Stegostoma tigrinum: one gene and its partners. Each later gene encodes a partner of the first gene's protein in a complex. Links are inferred from orthologs where the notes say so. Each region holds a gene or a part of one and is shown in the gene's direction. Other genes may lie near its edges.

Evidence for each region.
Region 2: the proteins of SUMO-conjugating enzyme UBC9 (region 1) and ranbp2 are in contact, whole or in part, in a crystal structure (PDB 3UIO), measured with the Homo sapiens proteins. The link is inferred for Stegostoma tigrinum from reciprocal best matches to the Homo sapiens genes UBE2I and RANBP2. Residues at the interface, in NP_003336.1 of Homo sapiens: Ile4, Ser7, Arg8, Gln11, Glu12, Arg13, Lys14, Ala15, Arg17, Lys18, Phe22, Gly23, Val25, Val27, Lys30, Met36, Glu42, Cys43, Ala44, Pro46, Gly47, Lys48, Lys49, Trp53, Glu54, Gly55, Gly56, Leu57, Lys59, Pro69; in NP_006258.3 of Homo sapiens: Leu2651, Lys2652, Leu2653, Pro2654, Phe2657, Phe2658, Tyr2660, Tyr2666, Val2667, Glu2669, Glu2671, Glu2672, Asp2673, Asp2674, Glu2675, Asp2676, Phe2677, Ala2680, Val2681, Leu2684, Gly2686, Lys2687, Leu2688, Tyr2689, Leu2690.
Region 3: the proteins of SUMO-conjugating enzyme UBC9 (region 1) and sumo1 are in contact, whole or in part, in a cryo-EM structure (PDB 9B62), measured with the Homo sapiens proteins. The link is inferred for Stegostoma tigrinum from reciprocal best matches to the Homo sapiens genes UBE2I and SUMO1. Residues at the interface, in NP_003336.1 of Homo sapiens: Asp19, Lys48, Asn85, Cys93, Leu94, Ser95, Arg104, Lys110, Gln111, Leu114, Gly115, Glu118, Leu119, Glu122, Asn124, Asp127, Pro128, Ala129; in NP_001005781.1 of Homo sapiens: Gln29, Asp30, Ser31, Gln55, Gly56, Val57, Arg63, Tyr91, Gln92, Glu93, Thr95, Gly96, Gly97.
Region 4: the proteins of SUMO-conjugating enzyme UBC9 (region 1) and rwdd3 are in contact, whole or in part, in a crystal structure (PDB 4Y1L), measured with the Homo sapiens proteins. The link is inferred for Stegostoma tigrinum from reciprocal best matches to the Homo sapiens genes UBE2I and RWDD3. Residues at the interface, in NP_003336.1 of Homo sapiens: Leu6, Ser7, Ala10, Gln11, Arg13, Lys14, Arg17, Lys30, Gly34, Thr35, Met36, Leu38; in NP_056300.3 of Homo sapiens: Glu3, Pro4, Glu7, Ser10, Val11, Ala13, Ala14, Ile15, Cys17, Pro98, His101, Glu102, Leu105.

Annotation. Positions count from the first base shown.
Region 1 is NC_081391.1:9,384,620-9,392,387, forward strand, and holds the start of SUMO-conjugating enzyme UBC9, read left to right. Parts: upstream 1-4,762; 5' UTR 4,763-4,961; intron 4,962-7,768. UniProt on the Homo sapiens protein: Accepts the ubiquitin-like proteins SUMO1, SUMO2, SUMO3, SUMO4 and SUMO1P1/SUMO5 from the UBLE1A-UBLE1B E1 complex and catalyzes their covalent attachment to other proteins with the help of an E3 ligase such as RANBP2, CBX4 and ZNF451.
Region 2 is NC_081359.1:65,881,695-65,889,300, forward strand, and holds the start of ranbp2 (E3 SUMO-protein ligase RanBP2), read left to right. Parts: upstream 1-4,596; 5' UTR 4,597-4,763; coding exon 4,764-4,838; intron 4,839-6,075; coding exon 6,076-6,143; intron 6,144-7,606. UniProt on the Homo sapiens protein: E3 SUMO-protein ligase which facilitates SUMO1 and SUMO2 conjugation by UBE2I. Involved in transport factor (Ran-GTP, karyopherin)-mediated protein import via the F-G repeat-containing domain which acts as a docking site for substrates.
Region 3 is NC_081384.1:28,437,984-28,445,900, forward strand, and holds the start of sumo1 (small ubiquitin-related modifier 1), read left to right. Parts: upstream 1-4,899; 5' UTR 4,900-5,006; coding exon 5,007-5,018; intron 5,019-7,917. UniProt on the Homo sapiens protein: Ubiquitin-like protein that can be covalently attached to proteins as a monomer or a lysine-linked polymer.
Region 4 is NC_081361.1:83,531,028-83,538,222, reverse strand, and holds the start of rwdd3 (RWD domain-containing protein 3), read left to right. Parts: upstream 1-4,178; 5' UTR 4,179-4,183; coding exon 4,184-4,304; intron 4,305-7,195. UniProt on the Homo sapiens protein: Enhancer of SUMO conjugation.

The DNA of each region.
Region 1 (7,768 bases):
CTTCCTGATATAGTAACATTTCTGCCATTTCCCAAATGTCTCCCACCTCAACCTACCCTGTTAACGTTTAGGGTCAATTCTGATTTCTTTGTCTGGTTTCCCTTTTCTCTCCAGCTTGTCTTAGCATTTGCCTTACATTTATCCCTCTCTGGTCTCGGCAGCTTCCACAACCACTTTCCTGAGTTACTAAGACAATGTGTTAACCCCTAGCTGTCAGCCAGAACTGCTGGCTGTCTGGGCCCTGCTCTCCAACGTTTCTCGAAAGAAGTCTGAAATAGAAACGATATGGAGTTTTTGACCAACTCATGGTACCTCACAGAGGTTTTCTTAGATGGCCTGAATTTTAAGTATCCATACTTATTGGGTACAAATGAGCACCTTAAAGCCTGTATATTCTAGTTATATAGGACAGGTAGATTATTTCTTGAGGGTACAAAACGTTTGTCTCAATGCCTCTAGCAAGACTGATATGCACTAAAATAGTCTCCTATGCTGCTTCATAGTAAATGGCATGTTCTACATAAGACAAAGTGAGTGATCTTTGAGCTTTTTCTGTCAGCTGCTCTACAACAGCAATGTTCAACAGTGGATTGGCTACTTTAAATACAGTGCTAACCTTTCAAAAGAGATGTGTCCAGCTCTTACTCATTAAGTTTAGGAATTAAATCAATAAATGTAAATAATTCAGGCATTAAATGCAAGTCTTGCTCCCTTACCAGAGCAGTTTTCTATCTCCCTCCTCAGGTCAAGCTGTCTGAATTGGAAAGTCCTTTCTTTCTTGGAATTCTCTTCTCTTTCCTTCACAACCTCGCGTTTTCATGTAATTCTTTTCAGCTGTTGGAATTCTAATTCTAATCTTAGCTGCTCTAATTAGTTTCTGTCTCTAAATACTTGCCACACATTTTACAATGTGGGTGAAACTTCATGTCTAACTACCCCTTTTAATTCTAAGGACAAAGCTTTTAACTTTTCATATGTTATTCTATCTTGCTCTAATAACAAATGTGGCCATTTTAGCAATTTTTAATCTTAGACTCAGTTTCTTTTACTTAAAAAGTTTTTTGATGGAACAATTTATGTATCCACTCCAATTCTTTTGTTTGTACTTGGGTTCTAATGGTGCAATTTGTTCTCATTTTTGTTGCTAACAAGTGAGGACAGGAAACAAAAACACCTCCCATCTTTTTAAAGCCCTCTCATAGCAAATACTTATTTCTCTTTTAGCAAATAAGTATCACACTTCAAATGAAATCAGTTAGGTTAAAAGGAGGATACAACATTTTCTTGAGCAAAAGAGGAATTTTATTACCTTCCAGTCCCAAAAACACACACACACACACAGCCACACTTTAAAAAGTGGTGGATGTCCGAGAGAGGAAGGTAAATGCAGGCACAGTTTAAAGTTATTAGAGTCCTTGAATTTGAGAATGATGAGTTCTGAATGTTGAGCTGTTGTGTTGTTTATTCAACTTTGCCAAAGTTTGCGTATTTCTTGCATTCTGGGTGAATATTGCTCTTGTAAAGTGTTTTTTTTCCATCAGACATTGACTTTGAGAAAGATGGGAAGAAAAAGACTTCCAGCTTCTTGCGATTGGTTCATTTTTCTTTTTCTATTTGCTACTCCAAAGCTGTTGACTGAAATATAGTTCATTGAAGAGTCAGGTGTCTGGCATAATTATTTTACCAAGCTGGATGATCTGCAGGCCAGATTCCTCCAAACATATAGCTTCCAGAAAGGTGTAAATCAACAAAGAACAGATCGAAGTTTCAGTGTCTTTCATGACCTGGTTAATTTTGGCTCAAATAGATCCTTGTATATTGACAGTTTCATGAGTTTTGCTCAATATGGTCAGGAGATCACACCAGCCTTTTTAAGCTCTGTATTTGTGCTCTTAGAAAAGTTAAATTTATTCCAATAAAGATCCCAGGTATTAAAATCAGATGATGGAAATTAAATATCAATAGACCATGTTCATCATTAACTTAACTGTAATGTCACAACACCACTGAAGGAGCACTGCTATATTGAAGGTGCTTATCGGGTTAGTTGCGAAATCAAGGTCTCATAATGCTATATTTAAGAACAACAGGGATGTACTCCTTGTGCTGTGAATCTCTCCATTGCTTCACATTATTCTGAACAGATGGTAAAAAATATTTTGATTAAATACTTATTCATGCAACATAGCTACACCAAAACTAGACGCCTCAATCTGGCCATTTTACAATAACAAACACTGGATCAGCGCCTTTTACCACATCAAGGCAAGTTCTAGGTTCTGTTAAACACAAAAAGGGCATTTATTTTCTTCAGCCAGTTGGTTACATCATGGTCAAATTTGAGTTTTAAATCCATATTAACAATGAAAACAAATTAAAAAGAATAATGTATCAGAGATAATGGGAACTGCAGATGCTGGAGAATCCAAGATAACAAAGTGTGGAGCTAGATGAACACAGCAGGCCAAGCAGCGTCTCAGGAGCACAAAAGCTGACATTTCAGGCCGTGACCCTTCATCAGAGAGAGATTAAAAAGAATAATATTGACTTTCATAAAAAGTTAAGATCCCAAATTGTCACACAAAGTAAACAAGAAAAAACCTTTGACAATAAATAGGTGAAGAACTGAACACGGAGTCTGCCTAACCATATAAATGGAGTTGTAAAACATGGCAAAGAACAACAGGGATTATCTTCATTAGTCCAGAACCGTTATTTATGTCTAAATTAACATCAATGAAAAGATTATAGTTATTATTACACTGCTGTTTGTTGCACCTTGCTGCATGCAAATTAGCTGGCAGGTTTACTTATAACAGTAAGTATGCTCCAAAAGTATCTCAATGGCTGTACTACCCACTGAGGGCATTTTGAAGTGGTGAAAGGTGTAATAGCACATCAGTAATTTTTTTTCTTGTGACTATCACACAGGGTCATCAACCGTGCCACATTTTCTTGGATTGGTCTTATAATTTGGCTTTTTCCCCCCCAGAGGCCCACTTCAGGCCTGGACAGGAGGTGTTTTGTCTCAGATGCCAGGCACACCTTTCCATTGTGCAAGACATGACATGGTTGGAAGGTTTACAGCTTGTGCTCAGGGCAGTCACATAGAAGTCTAGGAGGGGCATGGACCTAGTCTCAAAATTGGACAAGGTCAGAAATCACACAACATCAGGCTATAGTCCAACAGGTTTATTCAAAAACAAGTTTTCATAGCCTCACTTCTTCTTCAGGTGTCAGCGAGCAAGGTAGTATAAGAAACAGAAATTTCTAAGTAAAAGATCAGAGGGTCACACCACTGATGAGGATGTATTAAACTTAAGATACTGCCAAATCTTTAGCAGTTAGAAGTTTTAATTGATTACTCTGCATATGTAAATTCCCAAATTCCTTTCAAGTCACTGTCCTGACAGAATTAAAGGTTTCATCAGTGTAAAGTGACATTTTAGGTCAGACAATGTGTGTTAGGTAATGAGGGTTTGTTTAGAATCTGTTTATGTTTTGGTTTGGAGCCACACTGGTCTTATTTCTATACACAGATACATTCTATTTTGTTCAAAAAGTTCACAATTTATAGACAGTTAATGTTGCCTTCTATAAATTCCTACTACAACCTGGTGTTGTTTGATTTCTAACCCAACACCAGCACATCCACATCATCAAAATTGGGGCAAACCACACGGCAGCAGATGCCCCCCACCAATCTTTCACATATGCAACATCGCATGAACACCTCCTCATTCACAAGACCACCCCTCACCCCACAGATGCAAACTTCTTACCAGCACCGCTTACAACATAAGCCCCACTTACAAGTGCATCCACTGTGCCACGTCCTCCACACCCCATACTCAAGCTTCTGCCAGCAACTCACACAGCTAAACATCCCTTTAGTTTCTCCCAGCCACATTTATACAATCACACAGCACAGAACAGGCTCTTTGGTCCAACCAGCCCGTGTGGGCCATAATCCAAAACTAAACAACAGTTGGTCAACCAGAAAGCAAGATGGCTATCCTGAAGAGCCAGCACTGTTCCCCAATAGGCTGAATGGCCTCATTATATGCTGCACCCATCTTGGGTGGAGCCTTTACTCAGACCAGAGAAAAACAAGTCACTAGATGTGGCCAAGAGGGGGCTTTTGATGGCTTTGCCCCGCACTATAGTCCCTCCCACGCAGCCTTCACCTTCTCGAAAGTTCTGCGAGTTGAGCCAATGACGTCATCGCAGCAGCACTCCCCCCCCCCCCCATGTGACGCCATGTGGTGGCTTCTCGAATATTCTTCGGCGTTTCCCCTTTAAAACGGCCTTTTTACCGGGGGAGGGGGAACGAGTGTCAAAAATAATTAATTTTCACCTAAACTTACGAAAAACACACACTGTGAGAAAAACACGAAAGAAAATACGCGAGGAAACGCTCCGTAACGGTTTTTTTTTCAAAACGAAACCGGATCAAACCGGTTCCAACCGGTTGGCCGCTCGATCTTTTAGGTGGCAAAATACGCGCCTGCTTTTATGTGCTTTTTAAATACATGCCCTTTATCAAAACCTGCTTCGTTATTAAAAAGGATGTATTGGAACTGAGGAATGATGATTAAAAACGCCGCGTTTGAGAACTATTTCTGCGTCTGTTTTTTTTAGAAAAACAACTGACAGGCCATCGGACTGGGGAAACAGACCGGAAGTGTTTTTTTTTGTTTTCTCCACAACCTCCTCCCCTCCTTGCAGGCATGTAGTCGTCCTGGTCGGGGGCCTGACGGGGTGGACGGGGTCCTGGCGCCGCCATATTGCACTCAGTTCCCTTGTTGTTCTGTGGATGTGAATGAGTCGCGGGAGAGACGGACGGACTGGGAGAGGGAGAGAGGCACACACATCGTTATCGCTTCAGCTCCGTCACCTGAAGCACTTTCCCCTCCCCATCCCCCAACCCTCCCCTCCCCAAATTAACACTGTCGCTGAAGGTAAGAAGTGCTTCGCGACTTTTTTTTTAAAGAGCACCCTTTTCTCCCCGCTCTAATAACGGGGTGTGGTTCCTAAGATGTTAATAAGTAGCCTTTCCCTTCTTTTTCCCCCTTTCCTTTCCTCATTTCTACGACACCTTCCTGCATGCTGTTATGTAGAAGCCACAGACTAGGCACACATTCACTCTTCCTTCTTATTCCAGCTGTTGTAAATCTGATTTTTTTTTCCATACTTGGGTGTGCATCTCTCCCTATTTACTGTTGACTTTGTTTAAGCTCCATATCAAACTTAAATTGGAACATGTTTGCCTTGGGCAAATTTTGAAAATAACTGATTTTATTTAAAAGTCAGTGGCGACTTTTATGAAGAGGAGACAGATTTTTAATTTTTGCTATAGAAGTCCACTAAACGTTTGTTTTAATCTCTGTTGTTTTCCTGAGGACGGATGATCATAATATTGTGGCTTTTTGGGAATGTTTGGTGTGAAGTATGAATTTAAAGTAGATGTTGGTGAAGATTTGAATTGTGTAATAAATTAAAATGATTATTTAATGAAAAAAATTAAGCTTCTTGGGAAAGCCAAGGACAATCTAGTATTGATCTGTTTTGCTGATGCTACTTCAGAAGTTAAAGCAACTTTAAATGTTTTTACATGCAGGTGATTGGTCTTGATTTTATTTCCCTGTGTTGCCTTGCTGTCTCTTGTTCAGATATAATGCTGAAATTGCCCAGTTTGTTGTGTCTGTAAAAGCAACGAGTCCTGTATGTGCAAAGTGTATGTGTGGGAGATGATGTCTGGCAAAGTAGTGTTTTGCAGATTTAATGTTCATTAGTTTAATGTTATAGGAAACGTTTCTATCTTGAATAGAACCGGTTATTTTTCTGGAGTGAGTGGCATAAGGTTAACTTTTTAAATGATCTGTGTAGTATACATTTAGGAAGGAGACTGTTCTATGCAGATATTGTCATCTTATTTGAGTTGATCTTTTAGTAACTTTGAATGCTTTGATTTTGTAGTAGCAGTCCATTTGACCCAACTTAAACATTATCTCAGTGTACTTCATTGCATCCTAATAAATTCAATTTATTTTCACTTATTCAATTATCTTACCCTTAAATGCATCCATGCTAACAGTTTTTGTAATACTGTCAACTTCCTGTGGTGAAACTTTTTTAAGACTTTCAGCAAGAAAGAAACCCAAGTTTTATTATTTGGGTGTGGAGAAGAGGCAAGAGCATTTTTAAAATTGAACCCATTTTTGTTGCCAACCTGTTTTGGAGATGGTATTATGCACTTCTGACACTGGTGAGATCTGAGCCTGATCCCCTCAGCCCAGGTTTAAGGACACTATCACTGCACCACAAGAGGACCTTTGTGAAGATCTTGCCTGTATTAAAATCCCTGGCTGTGCTATCAGATGTCTGAGGAAGGAACATAGCTTCAGTTTCCTTAGGAGTTAAACCTCATTTCAACTAGAGGTATGAACCAGCAGGCCTCAATTGGTCCTTTCCAGTAGAAAGAAAACAGACTCTGTTTCTAAGTGAAACCATACAGGAGCCTGCTGAGAAAACTGAAATCTGTAAAGCCATGGAAACTGCCTGGCTGCAATGAAGATCAGGGTTTGTGGAAATTGATTGTACTGGGTAGCCAGATGAAGATGCTTCTGGGAAAGTCCAGATGTCATGGCTATAATTGCTAAATTGAAAGAAGTATGCAGTTTTGATGGTAATTGAATCTGGCACTTTCTGGTAGACAGCTAGTTATCAGAGAATGCTTGAGAGTCAGATCCTGCATCAAAGAAGGCAGTCAAACTCTATTGCTGGAAGTTGAGACTGACTGCACTTGGTGCCACATGCTAAGAAAGCTGCCTTGGTAAGTGGTGCCAGTTATTAACCTGTAGCTTATGGCTTCTACAGAATAGGACTTGCATATTGGTTTGCCTTTGTGTTGACTTTTTAACATTCAAACTAAAAGACTTAGTGAAACCTTATGCATCAGTTTCTTTTGATGTCGTTTGGGAAGTTTACTTGGATTGCAAATATAAATTTTCTGGATGACGACTGAGCCTGTTCATATGTGTGCATGTGTTTAGACAGTAGTCTGTAGATGAAAATTATTTCTTACCCTTTCTCATCTAGTTTTTGCTAAGTTCAGGACTTAGAGTCAGCTATTGTGGTAAACTTGGTGAATTTTGGAAGGCCAAACTTTCTTACCTTACTTTCTTCCCTGCTCCTGTGGACTCGTCCACCTTTTACAAAACAGTGATGCTTGCACTCTGTCGGACAATGGAGGAAAGGTCATACAGTCTGACCCTAACTATAGTTTGTATGTATGCAATGGATGTGGGTGCCTGGACAAAAGTCATTTGTTCATTCATGATGGAATCTTGCAGTTTGTGGTGACCTGTTGGAGATCCTGTGATTTTTATTTTCTGTCTTGTTAGACAGGGAGTACCAGAATTATGGGCTAGTGGTTAAGATATGTTTTCAAGATGATTGATGTGTTTCTCTGTCTGTGCTAATCATGTCTTTCAGTGTGGCTGTAGCTTTGGAATTTGAAGCAACCATTGGATACTGTGGTTGGTTTTTGCTCTGCATGGGCATTGGAAACTGCACTATGCCATGTAGATGGGATACACTGCTGTCATGCTAAGTTGGGTGGAATGCCAATGGAATCATGTCCACATTGTGGTGTTAGTGCTGCAGCCATTCAAACAAGTGGAGCTAATTACATCACACTCCAGGCATGTGCTTTTTAGACAGTGGCCAGGCTCTGAATTCCAAGCATCTGACCTGCTTTTGCAGC
Region 2 (7,606 bases), on another chromosome or scaffold:
AGTCCACATTGATAACATTGGGCTGTAGGGTTCCCAAGTGGAATATGAGTTGCTGTTCTTGCAACCTTCGGGTGGCATCATTGTGGCACTGCAGGAGGCCCAAGATGGACATGTCGTCTGAGGAATGGGAGGGGGAGTTGAAATGGTTCGCAACTGGGAGGTGCAGTTGTTTGTTGCGAACCGAGCGGAGGTGTTCTGCAAAGTGGTCCCCAAGTCTCCGCTTGGTTTCCTCAATGTAGAGGATGCCACATTGGGTACACTGGATACAGTATACCACATTGGCAGATGTGCAGGTGAACATCTGCTTGATATGGATAGTCATCTTGGGGGCCGGGATAGGGGTGAGGGAGGAGGTGTGGGGGCAAGTGTAGCACTTCCTGCGGTTGCAGGGGAAGGTGCTGGGTGTGGTGGGGTTGGAGGGGAGTGTGAAGCGGACAAAAGAGTCGTGGAGAGAGTGGTCTCTCCGGAAGGCAGACGAGGGTGGGGATGGAAAAATAGCTTGGGTGTGGAGTCGGATTGTAGATGTCGGAAGTGTCGGAGGATGATGCGTTGTATCCGGAGGTTGGTGGGGTCGTATGTGAGAACGAGGGAGATCCCCTGGGGGCGGTTGTGGCGGGGGCGGGGTGTGAGGGATGTGTTGCGGAAAATGCGCAAAACACGGTCAAGGGTGTTCTCGACCAGTGCGGGGGGAAAGTTGTGGTCCTTGAAGAACGTGGGCATCTGGGATGTGCCACCAACCTCATTGTTCCCCAACCCCGCACGGCCCGTTTCTATCTCCTTCCCAAAATCCACAAACCTGCCTGCCCTGGTCGACCCATTGTCTCAGCCTATTCCTGCCCCACTGAACTCATCTCCACCTATCTGGACTCCATTTTCTCCCCTTTGGTCCAGGACTTCCAATTCCCTGGCCCCCAACACCTCATTTTCACCATGGACATCCAGTCCCTATACACTTGCATTCCCCATGCAGATGGCGTCAAGGCCCACCGCTTCTTCCTGTCCCGCAGGCCCGACCAATCCCCCTCCACCGAAACCCTCATCCGCCTAGCCGAACTCGTCCTCACCCTCAACAACTTCTCTTTCGATTCCTCCCACTTCCTACAGACTAAGCGGGTGGCCATGGGTACCCGCATGGGCCCAAGCTATGCCTGCCTCTTTGTAGGTTACGTGGAACAGTCCCTCTTCCGCACCTACACAGGCCCCAAACCCCACCTCTTCCTCCGTTACATTGATGACTATATCGGCATTGCCTCTTGCTCCCCAGAGGAGCTCAAACAGTTCATCCACTTCACCAACACCTTCCACCCCAACCTCACGTTCACCTGGGCCATCTCCAGCACATCCCTCACCTTCCTGGACCTCTCTGTCTCCATCTCAGCTAACCAGCTAGAAACTGATGTCCAATTAAAGCCCAATGACTCCATCAGCTACCTAGAATACACCTCCTCCCACCCACCCTCCTGCAGAAATTCCATCCCTTATTCCCAATTCCTCTGCCTCCACCGCATCTGCTCCCAGGATGAGGCATTCCACTCCCGCACATCCCAGATGTCCACGTTCTTCAAGGACCGCAACTTTCCCCCCACAGTGGTCGAGAACGCCCTTGACCGCGTCTCCCGCATTTCCCGCAACACATCCCTCACACCCCACCCCCGCCACAACCGCCTTAAGAGAATCCCCCTCGCCCTCACATACCATCCCACCAACCTCCGGATACAACGCATCATCTTCCGACACTTCCGCCATCTAAAATCTGACCACACCACCCAAGCTATTTTTCCATCCCCACCCTTGTCTGCCTTCCGGAGAGACCAATCTCTCCGCGACTCCCTTGTCCGCTCCACACTCCCCTCCAACCCCACCACACCCAGCACCTTCCCCTGCAACCACAGGAAGTGCTACACTTGCCCCCATACCTCCTCCCTCACCCCTATCCCAGGCCCCAAGATGACCTTCCATATCAAGCAGATGTTCACCTGCACATCTGCCAATGTGGTATATTGTATCCATTGTACCCGGTGTGGCTTCCTCTACATTGGGGGAACCAAGCAGAGGCTTGGGGACCGCTTTGCAGAACACCTCCACTCGGTTCGCAACAAACAACTGCACCTCCCAGTCGCGAATCATTTTAACTCCCCCACCCATTCCTCAGACGACATGTCCATCATGGGCCACAATGATGCCACCCGAAGGTTGCAGGAATAGCAACTCATATTCCGCTTGGGAACCCTGCAGCCCAATGTTATCAATGTGGACTTCACCAGCTTCAAAATCTCCCCTTCCCCCACTGCATCCAAAAACCAGCCCAGCCTGTCTCTGCTTCCCTAACCTGTTCTTCCTCTCACCCATCCCTTCCTCCCACCTCAAGCCGCACCTCCATTTCCTACCTACCACCTCATCCCGCCTCCTTGACCTGTCCGTCTTCCCTGGACTGACCTATCCCCTCCCTACCTGCTCACCGATACTCTCCTCTCCACCTATCTTCTTTTCTCTCCATCTTCGGTCTGCCTCCCCTTCTCTCCCTATTTATTCCAGTTCCCTCTCCCCATCCCCCTCTCTGATGAAGGGTCTAGGCCCGAAACGTCAGCTTTTGTGCTCCTGAGATGCTGCTTGGCCTGCTGTGTTCATCCAGCTCCACAACTTGTTATCTTGAAATAGCAGAAATCCAAATTTAATTTTGATAAGACTAGTAACCCATTTCCAGAGTTGAGCACTGCGGAGTCAGTCAGGGTGCAACGTTCAATATATTGACGAGATCATTAAATGGAGGTGCCGGTTTTGGACTGGGGTTGACAAAGTCAGAACTCACAGGACACCAGGTTTTGGCCCAACAGATTTATTGCAAATCACAAGCTTTTCGAGTGTAGCCCTTTGATCGGGTGCAGTGAGAGAGAAGCACACAGACATAGAGTTTATAGGCAGAGAGATCAAGGGCTCAGAGATCAAAAGATCATGCTAACTGGTGTGGGTGGAGTGTCAGATAATAAGTCTCTGCAGGTGACCATGAGTGTTGGACCGTGAGAAAAGTGTCAACAGCTGATTACCCAGTGAAGGGATGATCTATAATCTGGCTAATTGAGACAGAGAGAGAATTACAAAAAATCAAAAGCAAGATGTTGCTGGAGACATACTAAATGACTGGAATAACATGATAGGTATAAGAGTCACATGCTGAAGGCCTAACCAAAGTAGTAAGTATGAGAGATCATGACAATTTATCAAGGAGATGGTGTCAAAACAGCCAATAAGGAAGACTTTACAGGTGCAGAAGTGCGTTGAGGTCACATGTAGCATGACATGAACTCAAGATCACAGTTGAGGCCGTCTTCATGGGTACAGAACTTGGTTATCAGTCCCTGCTTGGTGTTTCTGCATTGTTGTGTTTCTTGAAGTCCACTTTGGAGGATGCTTACCCAACAATCGGAGGCTGAATACTTTTGACTGCTGAATTGTTTCCTGACTGGGAGGCAACACTCCTGTCTGGCTTCAGCAGTCAAAGCCACCTGATGAAGGTGCTCCAAAAGCTTGTGATTTCAAATAAACCTGTTCGACTATAGCCGAGGGTCCTGTAACTTCTGACTTCGAAAAAGTCAACCCAAGTGGTAACCTACAACTTGCCTAGAGCAGTTGTCATTTCAATTGTGTACAGTGGAAATGAATGCATCAATTTATGGTTGCAACTGCAGGAGCATAAATTCATACAATGGAGCAGTTTTTTTCACTGTTAGTAGCCAGTCAATAAGAGTTAACCTTTTGAGACCAGTGACCCTTTATTAGAATCTTTCTGATGAAGAGTCACTGCATGTGAAATGTAAACTGTCTTCCTCTTTACAGATCCTGCCTGGCCTGCTGAGTTTTCCAGTAATTTCTGTTTTTGTTTCTGATTTCCAACATCTGCAGTTCTTTTTTTTTATATAATAGATTGGAACACGTGCATATTTGGTAGTTTCGGTGTCCCACATTGTAAATAGTAACACATGCCATGCAATTTTGTTATTTTTGCAACTGAAAATGTTGTTCGGCATAGAAATACAACACAAAGTACACAGAGTGGTACTCAAGTGCTCATGGTTTGCCATAGTAACCTGCCTTTTGCTCACTACAAAATATTCAATTTAGTGCCAATGCAATAAAGACATAATACAAACTAGATTCGAAACCAGATGCCAGAATTTGAAACAAAAACAAAAACTAGTGGAAAAGCTCAGCAAGTCTGGCAGCATCTGTGGAGAGAATGCAGAGATAACGTTACACGTCCTGACCCTTTCTGAATAAGTGAGTTCTCTTATTAATCTATCTTCACAGATACTGCCAGACCTGCCGAGGTTTTCCAGCAATTTCTGTTTTTGCACAAAATAAACTGACCTCCTGTGAGTTTGTGACAAAAGATTACACCTTTTATGTGTGAACACACGTTCAGTGACCGGATTAAACCTCTCACTATGGAGCATCAAAATAAAACTGCTCATTCGAATCCAAAACTTCAACCTCGCGAGATTTGGATGTAATCTCGCATACGTTGTGGCCGTTACCTCGGGATTACGTCCGGCGTTCCTTGTGACGTCAGCGGCAGGCCTGTGATTGGCGAGCGTCGGGCGAAGGCTCAGGCGCAGTGTGCGCCATTAGGCACAGTTTGGCCGCGCGGCATCGCGGAACCGGTGTTGAAAGCTCTGTGTTCACCATCGGAAGGGATGGTGTAGGACCGGAACTGGTCTGTTGAGGAGCGGCGTTTATCAAACCTTGTACACACAGCGGCCTGAGGCATGATGCGCAGCAAGGCCGAGGTGGATAGGTACATTGCCTCGGTGCAGGGCGTCACGCCGCTGTCGCCCCGTGAGGTGAGTGTCCAACGCTGCGGGCTGCGCTGGCCAGGAAAGCGCGGGCAGTGCAGATTGTGGCCTCAGCTCCTAGGCCTCGCCCCTCGCAGGCTCTGCGGTTGTGTTCTGAGGAGTTAAGCAAAAATCTATCAATTTGTTAAGCAGCTGTAGTTTAGCACTTTGTTTCATAGTGCAGGCGGCAGTGGTCTCTTGAAGTTTGGCGATGCTGGATTCTATAAACTAAGCTCATCCAGACTTTCAGTTTTGATCCCGCTTTTGAAGAAACTAAACTAGTCATAGAGGCTTAATAGGCTTGGGGACCGCTTTGCAGAACACCTCCGCTCAGTTCGCAACAAACAACTGCACCTCCCAGTCGCACACCATTTCCACTCCCCCTCCCATTCTCTTGATGACATGTCCATCATGGGCCTCCTGCAGTCCCACAATGATGCCACCCGAAGGTTGCAGGAACAGCAACTCATATTCCGCCTGGGAACCCTGCAGCCATATGGTATCAATGTGGACTTCACCAGTTTCAAAATCTCCCCTTCCCCCACTGCATCCCTAAACCAGCCCAGTTCACCCCCTCCCCCCACTGCACCACACAACCAGCCCAGCTCTTCCCCCCCACCCACTGCATCCCAAAACCAGTCCAACCTGTCTCTGCCTCCCTAACCGGTTCTTCCTCTCACCCATCCCTTCCTCCCACCCCCAGCCGCACCCCCAGCTACCTACTAACCTCATCCCACCTCCTTGACCTGTCCGTCTTCCCTGGACTGACCTATCCCCTCCCTACCTCCCCACCTACACCCTCTCCACCTATCTTCTTTGCTCTCCATCTTCGGCCCGCCTCCCCCTCTCTCCCTATTTATTCCAGTTCCCTCCCCCCATCCCCCTCTCTGATGAAGGGTCTAGGCCCGAAACGTCAGCTTTTGTGCTCCTGAGATGCTGCTTGGCCTGCTGTGTTCATCCAGCCTCACATTTTATTATCTTGGAATCTCCAGCATCTGCAGTTCCCATTATCTCTGATAGAGGCTTAATAGATAGTTTCTATTCACATCAGCATGTGAAATATACGAATTGCTACAAGTAGTTCATTGACTTCTTATTTTGTTTGCAGATGTAATAATGGTTTGTACCGATTGATGAATTTTATGCAGCGAGCTGTTAAACAAATTTGTATATCCCCAGGAATTTTTCTGAAGTGTACTCTTTAAATTTTTGTCTATTTCACATCACCTTCCAACTTCCTTTTCAGAAATCCCTCAAAGGGTTTTTGTTTGCAAAACTCTATTATGAAGCCAAGGAGTATGAACTTGCAAAGAGGTAAAGAATTTTTTCCAGTATGTGCTATTTTAAAACAAATCTCCTTGGGCTATCCTAAAAGTTTTACAGTTTATGCACTGACTAAAGTTGGCTGACTAATCAAAACCACAAAATCCATGTTGTAGTGATAAGAAACAATATAAATGCTGAAATCTTTTAAAATACTTATGTTATCCATCTTGTTCTCTGTATCCAGTTTTAAACTCTAACTTTTCCAATTGTATTCTGTTACCAGATGTTTTTCTGTTCCTGATGTTAGTGTGTATGTAATGTATACAGAGAGGAAGATCAACTCCTACAGTGCTTTAAAATAGTGAATTGTCCTGATGTGCTTGAAAAAAGCACTATAATATGGTATATGAGACTGAGCCATTTGACTTAAAAAGACAGATAACAAAAAACTGTCGTAGGAGCAGGTCCTTTGTGCCTTAAAGGAGGAAGGCGAGGCAGAGAGCTATAGGGAAAGTATTCTATAGCCTGTGACTGAAAAACTGAAGGTATGGATGCTAATCAGGAACAAAAACAAGTTGCCAGAAAAGCTCAACAGGTATAGTAGTATCTGTGAAGAAACGACCAGTTAACGTTTTAGGTCTGAGATAATGGGAATTGTAGATGCTGGAGAATCCAAGATAACAAAGTGTGGGGCTGGATGAACACAGGCCAAGCAGCATCTTAGGAGCACAAAAGCTGACGTTTCGGACCTAGACCCTTCATCAGAAATGTCACCCCAGCTGCCATCTTTTCTGAGGAAGGAAAACATCTGTTTGTATGCTGAAAATATTCATAAAGTCAGGAGGTATGGGATGCAGGGTGATTTGGCTCTCTTGATTCAGAATTGGTTGGCTGACAGGAGGCAGAGAGTGGTTGTAGATGGTAAGTATTCTGCCTGGAGGTCAGTGCTGAGTGGTGTCCTGCAGGGCTCTGTTCTTGGGCCTCTGCTCTTTGTAGTTTTTATAAATGACTTGGATGAGAATGTTGAGGGGTGGGTTATTATGTTTGCTGATGACACAAAGGTTGAAGGTGTTGTTGGTAGTATCAAGGGCTATTGCAGGCTTCAGCGAGACATTGACAGAATGCAGAGCTGGGCTGAGAAATGGCAGATAAAGTTCAACCTGGATAAATGCGAAGTGATGCATTTTGGAAGGTCGAAATTAAATGCTGAATATAGGATTAAAGGCAGGATTCTCGGCAGTATGGAGGAACAGCGGGATCTTGGTGTTCAAGTGCATAGCTCCCTCAAAGTTGCTACCCAAGGGGATAAGGTTGTTAAGAAAGCATATGGTGTTTTGGCTTTCATTAACAGGGGGATCAAGTTTAAGAGCTGCGAGGTTATGCTGCAGCTCTACAAAACCCTGGTGAGTCCACACTTGGAGTATTGTGTCCAGTTCTGGTCGCCCTGTTATAGGAAAGATGCGGAGGCTTTGGAGAGGGTGCAAAGGAAGTTTACCAGGATGCTGCCTGGA
Region 3 (7,917 bases), on another chromosome or scaffold:
CCTTTATTGCACCAGATATACTTTGCCACACTGCATTGTCTTCTCTTCCTTTAGTACAATATGCTGTCACTATGACCTTTTCCTCCTGTTGTAATGTCCTCTTTCCCCTGTCTCGGTATCCTCTCTATCTCTGTCCTCTCCCTCTAGCAGCTGTAAATGTCCTCTTGCACCTTGAACATGTATCCATTAAATGAAATTTCAATTCTTGTCAGCTACAGCTACTAGAACATGCTGAGACAATAATTTGTGGAGAAATTTTTCTTGAAGACTCCATGGGACAATGAAATGTAGGATATTTCAACCATTGACAAAAAAAGTCACAATTTTGCTTGATACACTAAGTAAACAAAACACCATGATTTTCCCAAAAAGTAGCCCCAGCTGATAGAGGCCTTTCCAATGATTAGGTTGCTTCAAATCAGCTCATAAGCAGTTTGAACATGTGACCCCAATTGCAAGGATTAGAGGCTTGATGAAAGTTTCCCATTATTTTAAGGAAATCTGATTCTAAAATGGAATTATGTATAGAAGTAGAGATGGTAATAAAAAAATGAAATAAGGTTTGAGGGGGATGTAGGGTACACAGACACCAGTGTAGAAAAATTGAGCTTAATGGCCTGTTAGTCTGATATAAATTTGATGTAAAAGAATTTCTGGGTTATTTTGAACAAACAGTATTCCACTCCCACACATAACTTAACAGTTAATAAGCTATTTGCCTCATAGTTTTTTACAACATGTCCTCAATTTTTGTCAGAGTGTGTAGTCATCTTGAATCATGAAAATTTCAGTTTTTAATAACTAGTAACAAATTGGCTGCACGGTATATTTTTTCATACAATACTTGCAGCCTACTGGTGACTGCTTTGAAGAAACGTAGTATAACTAATTGTATTCTGAATGCTAGAGGACTAAATTGATACTTGAGGTATAGTGCTGCCATCTGGTTTGAGTATAAACTGAAATAAAAGATTAGCTAGTTAGGATTCACTGAGTACTGAAGTGCTGATAATTGCAAGGCTATATTTCGTAGTTGTGTAGGCAACATGCTCCTTCATATAATAATATTCAATGCATCAGTTCCTCAGCTAAATGGGAATTTCTTTTATTTTTTGCCACTCATTTTAACAGTTTTAACCTTTTTGAACAAAATTTTCAAACAGTTGGTAGCATTATCTTGCCGGTATTTCTAACAAAGATTAACAGCTAACGTAATGATATGGACTCTGTTCACCAGGTGTACATGTATGTTTAAAGTAAACACTAAAGTGAATTAGCATCTAATTGAAAGTAAAATGTCACTCACAACATTTTGACATAGTCACACAATCATTTAATCGCATTGTGAATTGCTGTGGCACGGTGGCTCAATGTTTAGCACTGCAGCTTCACAGCGCCAGAGACCCAAGTTTGATTCCACCCTCAGGTGACTGTCTGTGTGGAGTTTGCATATTCTCCCCATGTCTGCGTGGGTTTCCTCCGGGTGCTGCAGTTTCCTCCCACAATGCAAAGATGTGCAGGCTAGGTGGACTGGCCATGCTAAATTGCCCATAGTGTTCAGGGATGAATAGATTAGGTGGGTTATAAGGGAATGGGTCTGGGTGGGATGCTCCGAATGTCGATGTGGACTTGTTGGGCTGAAGGGCCTGTTTCCACACTGTAGGGATTTCATAAAAAAGGCAGTCATTTTTTTTGCAGCTGACATCTAGAATGGGTTTTTTCTGGAATGCTGGACTTAAATATTGTCTTTTATTGTTCACTCTTACCTACGTGATTATCTGCCATCTAGCAGCAAAGAACAGAGGCTGCCAACATAAAACATGCATGAAAATTACAATATTTATGATGTTAGTGGCAAGAAGATCTCAGAAACCTAAAAGTTGTTCTTGAACAAGAATAGACACAAACCCTTTATTTTTCTCAGTGTAGTTTTAAAATACTGTTTTCTAAATGGCTCTTCATCAGCGAACATGAGAGCCAAGAAGGAAAAAATTGGGTGGTCAACTGCTCACGCAGAATAGAAAGGAAGCAGGAGTTGTTTCTCATGGATGAGTTGTGCTGGGAGAGTGCATTAGGGAAATACAGAAGAGAAACTAGAAAAAGATGTAAGTTCGGGTCTTTGAGGGGATAATTGGACAAGAGGAAGAGAGGGATGTACCAGAAAAAGCTTACTGGATGGTCTTAATCTCAGGGATAAATAAATCACTATCTATTGCATTTGGATTAATTGTAATGCATACAGTTTAAATATCTTAAATGCACTGTTTCAGCTTAAGTTTTATGTAAAATTACACCAGAATCTCTTTTGCCATTTGATTACTGCTGCACTTATGCCAACACTTGCAACTTGATTACAAGATTGCAATTTCTAAGTAAAACTGCTTACAGCATGCCTACAGCCTGAACATGCCCATCCTGTCTTTCCTCGAACCTGAGCTGTTTTTGCTACCTGCCTTGCACATAACTTAAAGCTACTTGTTTCCTGATTCCGTAAGTTGTTGTAATTTCTGAAATTACTTAGAGCTTGGATCTTGATATCTTTGCTTGTGCTTGGTAAATAACTTCAGTAATACTTTGCTGCTTAAATCATTAATCTTAATTCATACTAGTGTTGCTAGAAATCAATCTTTCTGCTTTAATTGTGGATTGATTGCTGCTTTGATCAAAGTATTTTGAGATTTTATTATAATAGTGTCATGTGAACCTCAATAGTTCTTCTTAAATAGCTCATGTATTTGATAAACTTATTTGCAAGTTGTAATACTATGCATAAGCCAATTGTGAATTGGTTGCTTCTTTCATCAAAATTGCACTAGTGAGATCTAGGCTTGGAAAAGTTTTGTTTGAACAGGCTATACTCTGGTTTCCTCTCATTGCTGTCCAGAGTTTAGACACAAGAAAGGACATGATTGAATGTCAGCTTTATAAGAAGTTTTTGGCTATACAGAAATAAATTAACACACAATAGCTTTAGAAATCTGTCTCATTCTTCAAAACCAGAGATACTTTTCTAGGTTGGTTATCATTACATGCTGTCTGCTGAGACAGAAAGCACAATAAATCATTGTTAGAAATTTTTAAAAATTTGTCAATTATTTTCAAATGCTGTAACAAAATATTTATAAAGACCTCTGACCTGTTGAAAGACTAAATTAAGCACTAATGTTATGCTACCCAGATTTTTAAATGTCAAAGCCAGGGGCCATTGAAATCCCTTGGTAAGGTAGGGCTCCGTGACGATATGCATGTTTCACTTGCCAACAGCAGGAGATTATGGGAGGAATGTTGGCTGTCATGTGATGACATCTCCCAGAATATGTCCAACCAGAGTTGGCAACCTTTATTATTCAATATGCAAGGATCAAGACCAGTCTCCCTTTTAAAAACCTCATTTGTTTCCATTTGCAGGTAACAAGGTATAGAACTGGATAAGCACAGCAGGCCAAGCAGCATCAAAACAGCAGGAAAGCTTAAGTTTCGGGTCTGGACCCTTTTTCAGAAATGATTTCTGAAGAACGGTCCAGACCCGAAACATCAGCTTTCCTGCTTTTCTGATGCTGCTGGCCTGCTGCGTTCATCCAGCTCAACACCTTGTTACCTCAGATTCTCCAGCATCTCTTATTTCGATTTGCTTATGTGTTTTGAGCCAGAAACTATTATAACCTAACAAATTTATCTCAAGTGGAAAGTTTAATAAAACATGACATGGCTCACCTTGCTTAGCCCTGCAGGGTGCCCATCAGTAAATCACCATCAGACTACTTATCAAGTGTGTCCTATGGTTGGCAGACCCCACTTCTGCCACCACCAGGATGATTCCCTGCCAGCTCCAAATTCCATAGAAAAGAAGTTCTGCATCTGCTGGAGTAGGTTGGCAAATGAGTAATGTCAATTCCCAGGGCAAGCAGGAGGCTCTGAGTTTTGCTAAAAGTAAACACAAGAAGCAGTTTAAAGAGGAAGGGGCTCATGGGATCTGAAGATCAGGACACTTGAGCAAACTGGAGAAAAGTGCCAAGTACTATCCCAGCAAAACTCCAAATTCCAGTCAGCCAAACTAATTAAATTATAACAAACTAGATTATTAATATTAGTCCATAATTTAGAACAAAAACGTGACTTTGATACAAAATTTCTTGATGTTTCAATATTTGGCTCTTTCTTTACAATACTGTGGTTAAGATTTCTCCTGCCTTGTACTCTAAAATAGATGAGTTTTTATTTTTATTCTTTCCCTTTTCTGGGCTATAGTTTTTAAAACCAGCCTCTTTAGACATGTCATGTCACACCTCCAATACAGGCCGTTTCAGAGATAGGGACATTTAACCATTGCACCACAAGTCACTTTTTGTTTGCTTTGTTTTTTTAATTTAAAAGCTGTTTATATTTAAATCATCCACCTGATCGTTTCTTGTTCTAGCTACGGCCTGATCTGCAAAGTGCCTCCAGTATTTTCGAGCACATATTCTCATCTCACTGCCACTCCCATTACAATGCTAACAACTCTTTAACAAGTCAGAAGTTTACCAAACAGTGTAGATCTGCAAACCACAAATAAAAACTAAAATTCCTGCAAAGTAATACTTGCGTGCCGAGGCATTTGAGAAACGATGATACAATTGGAGAACCTAGGATTAGACTTTTAAACTACTGTAGTTTGGGCCTTTCAGCTAACATTTAAAATAAAGCTTATTCCCATAGTTCCTTGTGTAAAATGTCGTTTTCTCTTTTGTTGCGTCGATTGATGGTGGAAGAAAGCGCACCCGGAACTAGAAATCCATTCCATAACAGGTGGCGCTGTAAGTGAAGGCGCTGAGTGAGTGAGGAATACAAACGGGAAAAACTGCAACTCCCAGGATGCATGGAGAACGAGACTCATGCGTAATGCTTTGTGCGTCATGACGCTCATGACGCGTTTAAGTGCTTGGTCGGTGCGCAGAAGTGGCCGGTGAGAGAGTTGCTATTTATTGGTGGTTGAATTCCTCAAACTACATCTGTCCGACGTTAAGATGTCTGATCAGGTAGGTGGTTACGTTTCATTTTTAGAAGAACAAATATTGTGCTAGTATTGCTTTGCGTTTCGGTCACTGAGTATAACATTGCAACTCAACACGGGGTTCAAATGGAGGCGGAAGGGAAGGAAGCTGAAGAAATCTTGGGTGCGCGCCTCGTAGATCGGGGACGCGCCTTGCAGGTCTGTTTTGATCTAAATTGGTTGTAAAATGTACTTATAGTGAAAGTGTAACTTTGGAGGGGGGTAGTTTTGAATTCTGCTTAAGGACTGTACAGCGAAGTAGAGGAGCTAACGATCGAATGCAGCCTAATTTTCATTGTTATAATTAGCCTATCCTGGCGTACATGTACATTATGTATGTTATAGTTGGTATTGAATCTTTGGAGTTTTTCATGACAAAATGGGCTGGTTATAAATTACATGGTCAATATATTGTACATAATTTAAGACAGCATCTAATCAATCCAATGATGTTAATTAAAAATATTCATACGTAACAAAATGGATTATGTATATTCAAGTCCTGTTTCTCACAATTAGATCTGTCAATTCTAGTTCAAGTACTTTGAGATTAATTAAAATGATTAATTGAAGATCGTGAACAAAATTATTCCCAGTTAGGCTAGGGAACAGAATTAAAAGTATGATGAGGTTTAGTTCTTATCGTGTGCTTACTGTAATAACTGCTTGAACTTGATTTTTTAAATGTTTTTCCATATGTCCACAGTATAATTCTGCATCATGTGTGACTGCAGAGGCAATACATATAGGCTGTGTTTAGCATGTTGAACAAAACAATACTAATTCCTCTATCACCAGCAGAATTGATTGTGTTCTAATTCATACAAGTTACCAAGTTTAAACTGCGCTGACAAGTAAATTACTTGAAGCTGAGCCGCACAGCACTAGATATGAGTGATCAGAGATAATGGGAGCTGCATATGCTGGAGAATCCAAGATGACAAAGTGTGAAGCTGGATGAACACAGCAGGCCAAGCAGCATCTCAGGAGCACAAAAGCTGACGTTTCGGGCCTAGACCCACTAGATATGAGTGAACTGAGTTTAAACTGTCTGTTTGGCCTAACAGATCAACTAGAAAAACAGACCCTTGTACTGCAGATTGGCTTGAAAGGAAGCTTATTATATATCATAATCAGTTGAGATGAGGAATGCTTTGTTTCTAATGTTCCATGTTTCTAACATTCTATTTGTTTGAAAATATGTATAACTGCTTTTGTTGAGGAAACAAAGATGTTTTGATAAACCAAGGCCCTGAGGTCAGAAGTTACTCTTTGGTTTTTGTCAAAATTTGCTAAGTAGTATGCTGTATTTTTGGCATCATCACAAATATGAAGAGATTCAGTCGAACTATCCAAAGCGCCCAGTTTACCTGACTGATAAACTCCAGTTAAAAAATCATGCTCACCAACTATATTTGCTGTGTATTTTTGTTTTGCTGGTCGGACTTCTGAGGTCTGTGCACGGTAGTGGCTTCTGGTTCCGATGCCAATGTGTCAGGACACTGATCAATGAGTGGAGAATCTCTGAGTGGTGTAGGTTAGAAGCAATGTTGCTCACTCAGCTTCTGTATTTAACAATCAAATAATTGTTTATTTCAAACAAATGTCTTCAATCAATGGCAATTACCAATTCATATTTCTTCACTTATAACTGTGCAACTTAAACTCTATCTTTTCTTAAATTTTACCTCTCTTTATGAACATCCAGATACAAATATTGAGGTTGGAAAAAGAGATGAAAACCTGTGAGAAACAGTTCAGTAGCACTGGTCTGGATTACAGGATTTGATGAGTTGCTTTCTTTCTCTTGTGTTGAATTCCTTTTAGCTCTTGGCTTTATTTCATGCTGTTGCTCTATTTCATTCATTTGTTGAGAACTTTTGCTTTTACTTCATTTAAGGGCACTTTATTCCTCCAGTAGGGTATTTGCAGAGAAAGGGAAGTGGAAAACAGACATTTCAGTGCCTTCATATAAGAGACAGTTTGTGCATCTTCTCTGCTGCACTAGTCCCACACAACCATGGTCACCTAGTCAAGGGGCCAGTCAAAATATTGTTGTCAAGCGGTTTTCCTTTGATGCAGAACTCATTGGCTCAATGCCTTCGTCTTTTGCTCTCAATGTTCCATTGAAGTGCAATATTGAGTACAACTCACCATATACTCCAGTGGACATGATTTATGCATTCTTAAAGGGAGATTAGAAATTGAAACGTTTTATCTTGCACTCATGAGAACTACAATACAAGAAACCAGTCACCAGTCTACCTCAGATTCCACTGGAATGGGAGTGTTTTAAAAGTTTGAACAATAGTTGCAGCTAGCTGTCTCTCTCTTCTACTTTCAGTAAATTCATGAGTCGATTTCTGCACTGACAGGATGCTGTTGACAAACCAGACAGATGTTTTTACCTACCATACAAATGAATAACATGATATGATTGCCAGTGCTGATGTGGTATCACATGGGCCATATGACTGGCAGATTGCATCAAGCATCCCAGTGACTATTCGCAACTTGCAACTTGCAACATGCCACTCAACTAGCCTGTGCTTCCAAGCATCAGAAAAGTGGACCCACCATTAGATCTGATTCTGCCATTGAAAATAATTTATTGCTTAATCCAGACTATGCTAAGAGTTACAGTTGAAACCAATTTAAGGTTAGCGAGTAGATATTTGTGCATGCTAGAAGCTATGTAAGTTAAATACTCAGAATCCTGCTTTGTGGAGACAAAGACATTTATCCCTTCATGGCACCTTTTTCAAAAAAGAGCCATGGAGCTGTTCAAACTCTGTTACATTGCCATGGAAATGCCCACACAGATCAAAATCCATCTACCTTTGCCTGAGAATTTATGATTGACAGTTAACTGACATGGCGATGCA
Region 4 (7,195 bases), on another chromosome or scaffold:
CCCATGTTCCTGGAATATATGTAGCTTACATTCAGCTTCACTTCCTAATAACTAATCATCATATCTAGGATAGTGAAGGCTTTTGCTGTTGAAAGTTATGGTTGATGGTTGGCACTGGCAGGGAGCTTTATTTAGGTCCTTTAGATCAATGCACGCTCTCCAAGATGGTTGAAGTGTAGCAGCACAATGTGCAGGTTCCTCAGCCCAGCAGCCCGAAGCTTATCTACTCCATCACTTTACTTATTTTCTTTCTTTTATTTTAATATTACCATTTATTTTGGTACCTTTCCTTCTTTAAACAACTTCTGTGGATGATGTTTTTTCTCCCAGCCCAGGCCCAGCGATGTGGTGGCTTCTAATGGCGGCCCATAATGGTGGCATAGGCTTGGTGTGGGGTGGGACACGTTTGGCTGGGTGGGGCAGTCTTGGTCTGGCGTAGAGGTCTTCTCCAGTGGCTTCTGACTATTCCATTAGCTCGGCGTGAAGGTCTAGTCCCGACACGGATGTCCCATCCTTGCTGCAGAGGCAGCTTCTAGGTCTTTCAATGGCCCAACATGGAGGCCTAGTCCTGACGCAGAGGTCTCACCTCGACCCGGTGTGGCAGTCTCAGCCCAGATTTCCAGTGTACCCCAACCCCAGGAGCTGTTAATTGTACTGTGATGAACTTTTACTGTTTTTTCCTTTTGTCATTAATGTAGGCATTGTGGTATGGCAACTTATAAAACTTTGCACTGTATTTTTTTGTAAAATTACACATCACAATAATTTGCTATTTTTCTTATTCTTCTAACTTTCCATGTTGTTGCTTTGCTACCATGCTGTTAATCCATTCTAAATATGTTCCTGAATTATTGCCTCCTTTTGCAGCTCAACTTGGCCTTGAGGGAAGCTGCAACTTTCCTTGACAGATACTAAATTGGTCTCACACTCTTTTCTATGTTGTGATGATATTCTTCAGAAAAACGTCCTAAACTTGTAAATGCATGGTATTCCTCTGGGATCTGTCCTCCAGTCAATGGTTTAGTGTGCAGTGACACATTGCAAATCTCCTTTGGCTTCTTGAGGGTTACTAGTCCATGCTCTAGACTTCAGCTAGCTGAGATGAATAGTATTTGCTTGGTATTTCGATCTTTGTTACTGCCATTGCATTGTGCTGACTGAATAATCTGTCCCTTTAGCAAGACTACGGTACAATCCTTAAGTTTACTTTTGGAACACCCTGTTTCTCTCTTTGTAGGTGTAAATATCATGAAATTGCATGAAGCACTGGGCTCTATCTAACATTTTATGTTACCTGATGTCCTCCGTCTGTGGTCAACATTCCAACAATCATAAACAATTAGTAACTTAGTGAACTGCTTGAACCTGTTTTATGATAGATATACAAGTGGACAAAATGATCAGAGGTATAGATAGAGTAGACAGCCACAGACTTTTTCCAAGGGTGGAGGTAGCTATTATGAGGGGGCATAGTTTTAAAGTGAGTGGAGGTAGATTTGGGGAGACGTCAGATGTAGGTTCTTTATTCAGAGAGTGGTAGGGGCGTGGAACGCATTGCCAGAGACGGTAGTGGAGCCGGCCTCATTAGGGGCATTTAGGCGGCTATTAGATAGTCATATGGATGATAGTATAAGGTAGGGGTGGAAGTTAGATAGATCTTAGGTTTAGGGTAAAAATTTGGCACAACATGGTGGGCTGAAGGGCCTGTACTGTGCTGTGCTGTACTGTTCTATGTTCTATGATGCAGTGTCTTCAGCCGATATCTCTCCAGTGGCCATCTATACCTGCTTGTTGTGCTTCCTACTGGCTAGACACTTGTTTTCAAAATTATTCAGCTTCCTGACATGAGACCACAGCTTTCCCCATGCCAGATATGCCTTCTGTGCCTTTCTGTGACATCATTTGCAGGATTTGCATCTTGCCCTTTGACTGTGATTGTTCCTCCATTTCTGCTGGAATGTCTATCAGCACAATGCAAGGCCTGGTGTGTTTTCTGGCATGAATATTCTGTAGCTGCTGATTGGTAACCTCAGTGCTTTTGCACATGTTGCTTGCTTTCACGAGAGTAATGATGAACGACTTTATTTATGATGAATGACAAATGACGATGAGTGATTTTATTGTCATGTGTATTTTACAGTCCTGACCCGAAACATCAACTTTCCTGCTCCTCTGATGCTGCCTGGTCTGTTGTGTTCCTCCAGCTCCATACTGTGTTATCTCATCATCAATGATGCCTGCACTGACATCCTTCGTTCACTGTCTCACTATTGTCTACACCTGACCCAATCAATATTGAAATTGCACTCTTCAAGCGCCATATTTTGCTGCTGGGCTGATTTCCTCCGCCACCGCCTTGCCACCAACTGCACTGAACCTACCAATGCCAGGGTCGCATCTCTTGCTGCTCGGCCCACCTCGATATCGCTGTGATGACCATGATGGCACTTAACTGTCGCCAGCACCAGACCCACCCAATGACAAAATCGTTGATCCTCAGTGCCATCAAGTTTCTCCTCTCTCAGTAGGTGTGCTCTTACAGCAGACTTTCTTATGCCTAATGCAAACCAGTCTTTCATAAAATTGTTTTTTAATTGCTATTGGATTCTAAGAATTGATCTTTTCATCTTGGGCCCTAAAGTTGACTGTGTACCATTCATAACCTATGTTCATTTTGGGATCAATATTTGCCCTTGAGGTTTTGAAGCTTTCTGCAGTTTTTTCTTCAGAGATTTTGTGTGGAACATACTTTGAAACAATTTTGCCCCAAAAGTGAAAAAAATCTAACTGCTCATACCTGGTCTGGCTTATCAAGTAAATCTATTGCATTTTGTCATGATAAAATTGTCAGTCCTGTTTCATTTCAAAATTCATTTCGACTGGTATGGGAGAGGAAAAGTGGCACTGATTGCATCTTGCTTAGCCTTTCAGCTGCGGCTTGCTCTTTGTCCAGTTTTTGACTTACTATAGCTTTTAGCAGTGTTTCAGCAGATCTAAATATTTCTGCGTTTGTCTTTTAGTAGCTATGCCTCTAAACAGCTCTTCATTGAATCATACAGTTCAGAAAAGGCCTTTTGGTCCTTTGAGTCTGTATTGCCAAAATGATGCTAAATCTACACTGGTCTGACTTTCCAGCACTAGGCCTGTAGACTTGAATGTTATGACTTTTTGGTGCTCATCCAAGTAATTTTTAAAAATTCTAAATCCCAGCAATGGGATTTTAATTCACAAGCAATGTTGCCTCCACTGTGTCTTTATTGAACTGACCCTGAAACGGATATCTGCACTGAGTGTACCTCATTGTAGATGTCACATGGTTACAGAAAGCCAGGAGTCTAACTTGGTGCAGTGTTGCATTTCTATCTCAAACGCTCTCACAATGTAATAAGTATAAAGATAACCCTTTAACAACATTTTTTTTAAAGAAAATTCTGACCCACCTAGTGTACTATTAGTGAAAATGATTAATTGTAGTTTAAAAATGTCACCCACTGTTTTATACATTTTACACTAATACATTATACTTTCCCATGTGTTGGATTTGTAAACTGTCATGTTGGACCGAAGTTGATAGTATTGGGTATAGCCTAAAGAGCATTTATAATCACTACAAACTAAATGGGTACTGTGGTCTGTTCATATCCAAAATAGAAACATTACAGTTCAAAGAGCAACCATCAGATTCAGGTGCAAAATCTGTGCCCCTCACTGTCATTCTCACATTGATGAGAGAATAAACATTGACCAGGACATTGGAAAATAGCTATTTCTTCTTTGAAGCCGTATTATTGCAGCACTGTTACATACGAAAGTTCATTTACAGTGCAAACAGAGATTCAATTTCACACCAGTAGCTGGGGTCTCAGCTGGAGCCCGATAGATTTAGCTGAGATTCTCCTGCCCTTCAGAGAACTTTGTGTAAATGTCCCAACATTTCAATGTAACAGCAATCTGAAAGGTATGTTACAATCTTACTGCCTTTCCCCCCACAAATAAGGTTGTCTTGTTGCTAAATCTGCTTTGCAAGCTTTTTTTAATAAAAAGATTAGGATTAGGGTTCCCCACAGTGCCTGATTCTTTCCCCGCCTCCCCCGGCCAGCCCCACCGCAGACAGCCGCTGTAGCTGCCCCGCCCCGCCGCCTGTCAGTGCCGGGAGCCCGGCCAGCGGAAGGGTGGGGGGGGGATGAAGCCTCCACCTCCGGAACTTGTTCCACGCCCCGTTTCAACCTTCATGGCCGCACAGGAGGAAGTGTCTGCTCTGGGCTCCATTTACAGCGGCGATTTCCAGCTGCTCTCGGAACCAGGTGAAGATTTGCAGCTCTTCGGGATCCGGCGGTTAAATTGCTGCAGCTCAGATTCTGCATCTCCTGATCCCTCAGTGAGATTCCGGGCGAACTCCTGAACCTCAGTGAGATTCCTGAGCCCAGAGACATAGACCCTGGATCTCCTGAACCCTCTGTGAGATTCCTGCTACACATAGACCCTGGATCTCCTGATCACTCAATTAGATTCCTGTTGCTCAGAGAAATAGAGCATGGATCTCCTGAACCCTCAGTGAGATTCCTGCAGCTGAGACAAAAAGACAGTGGATCTCTTGATCTCTCTCTGAATATCCAGCATTCCATGCACAGAGACCTTGAATCTCCTGCTCCCCCGTGAAACTCCTGTGTTTCTACAAGTCAGACATAGAATTATAGCAAAATAGACAAAGTGGCCTTTCAGTGTGCCATGTAGGTGCTGCTTTCGTCTAAGTGTGACTCTCCTAGTTACATACACTTGCCATTTTTTCTTTTAGACTCGTTATTTGTTTTTCTCTTGAGTTAATATGTTGGAGAGCCTGTGGGACTGCTCTCCTGAGGAATAAGAAGGCTAAGAGAAGATCTGCTGGAAAGTTTCAAAACTATGAGAGATCTGGAGACAGTAGATAGGAGGAAACTATTCCCACTCATAAAAGGATCAAGAATGAGAGGGCACAGTGTAAAAGTGATTAACAAATGTTGCAAAATGATATAATGAAAAGTCCTTTTCATGCAAGTGATTTGGGCCTGGAATGGATTGCCTGGCAATGTGGTGGAGGCAGTCAATTGAGGCATTTATGAGGGCATTAGATGCTTATTTGCATAGAAACAATTTGTAAAGAAATGAGAAAAATGTGGTGCTAAGTTATAATGTTCATTGGAGAGTCTGTTTGGACTCAGTGGAAGAGTTAACATTCCAGTGCAGTCTTCAGAGCAGTTCTGAGGAAAGGTCATTGGCCCTGAAATGTTAACTCCGAATTCTCTCCACAGACTTGCTGAGTTTTTCCAGCAACTTCCGTTTTTGTTTCTGATTTAAAGCATCTGCAGTTCTTTCAGTATTTGTTTTAACAATGGAATAATGACGCCCTTCTGTATCATAACAAGTCTGTGATTCAGAAAGTTATCAATTTTCTTTCCAGAGCCACAATTGAACCTGTTTCCAACACACTCTCAGCATCTTCCAGATCATAACCGCTCACGGAAAAATGTCTTTCCAAAGACTGCCATTGCTTCTTTTGCCATTCACCTCAAACCTGTGTCCTTTGGTTTTTTTCAATCCTACTGCTAAAGGATAAAATAAAGCAAAATTGTGAAAATGCTTGTCAATTTTCACAAGAATTCTGAACATTATCTGCAGGATTGCTGGCCCATTGCAGATCCATATGTTAGATTCCTCATCCAAAAAATAAGGAGGAAAGAACCTGCATTTATGTAGCGCCTTCCACCACCTCAGATCACCCAACTCTGGTGTTGGTGTTGGTGTTGCTTTAAGCATCTGTCATCTGCATAGTTAATTTGGTTATGATGTCGGTGGATTAGTGTCATGGGAGATTAATGGCATCACTGATGTAAGAGTATTAATCAAATTTTTGTGCCTTCTGGCCGGAATTATAACATTCAAGTCTATTTAGTATGAACCTTGGCTCAGTGACGACGCTCTCATCTTTGATTTATTAAGCTTTGAGGTCAATTCACCCTCCTCAGGCCAGAGCACAAGAGTTGAAAATGGCACCTCATTACGTTACTGTGGGAAGTGTTGCGTTGTTGTAGGCGCTGTCTTTCGAATAAGATGTTAAACTGAGCAGATGGTTGCTCTCTCAGATCGGCCTGATGACACTATTTGGAATTTTCTAGGAACCTTAGCAGCCAGTATCCCTCAGCCAGTTTGGCTCAGTGGTTAGCACTGCTGTGTCACAGAGCCAGCGACCTGGGTTTGATTCCCACCCTCAGGTAACTGTCTGTATGGAGTTTGCTTGTTCTCCCCATGTCTGTGTGGGCTTCCTCCACATACCAAAGATGTGTAGGTGAGGTGGATTGGCCATGCTAAATTGCCCATTGTGTTCAGGGATGTGTAGATTAGGTAGGGTATAGGGGGTGGGTCTGGGTGGGATGTTATGAGGGCCAATGTGGACCTGTTGGGCTGAGGGCCTATTTCCACAATGTAAGGTTTCTGTGATGATGCTGATGTCAGAGCATGAGGTAATATATCACATTGCTGTTACTGTGCATGCTTTGACAGCTGCATTTGCCTGCAAAACTATAGTGACTAAAACTAAATTCACTTCCTTGACGATATCCAGCGCCTCCTCCAGGGTCACAATGATGCCACCCATAAACTCGAGGAGCAGCACCTCCAACCCACTGGCCTCAAAGTGGACTTTACTAAATCTCCCCACCCCTGGCCTCATTCCCATGGCCAACCCTCTCTCTCATCCCCGCCTCCTCGATCTAACACAACCTGTCCATCTTCCTTCCTAACCCATCTGCTCCTCCTATCTCACTGACCAATCCCTGCCACGACCTACCTGCACTCACCTATCACCATCCCACCTACCTTCCCCAGCCCCATCCCTCCGAAGGGTCCCGACTCAAAACGTCAGCTTCCCTGCTCCTCTGGTGCTGCCTGGCCTGCTGTGTTCCTTCTGCTCCACGCTGTGATATCTCTGACGCCAGCATTGGTGGTTTTTACTATGTCCCTGACAATAAAACACTTCCGTGACCTATCCAAAGATAATGAAAAATGTTTTACAAAGGCATTTTAGTAGTTGCTGTTATATTTCAGCACATTTCAAGGGCAGCACAGTGGCTCAGTGGTTAGTACTGGTCAGCGAAAGGGAACTGGGGATCAGTTCCAGCCTTGGGCAACTGTCTGTATGGCTTTCCTCTGGTTGCTTCGG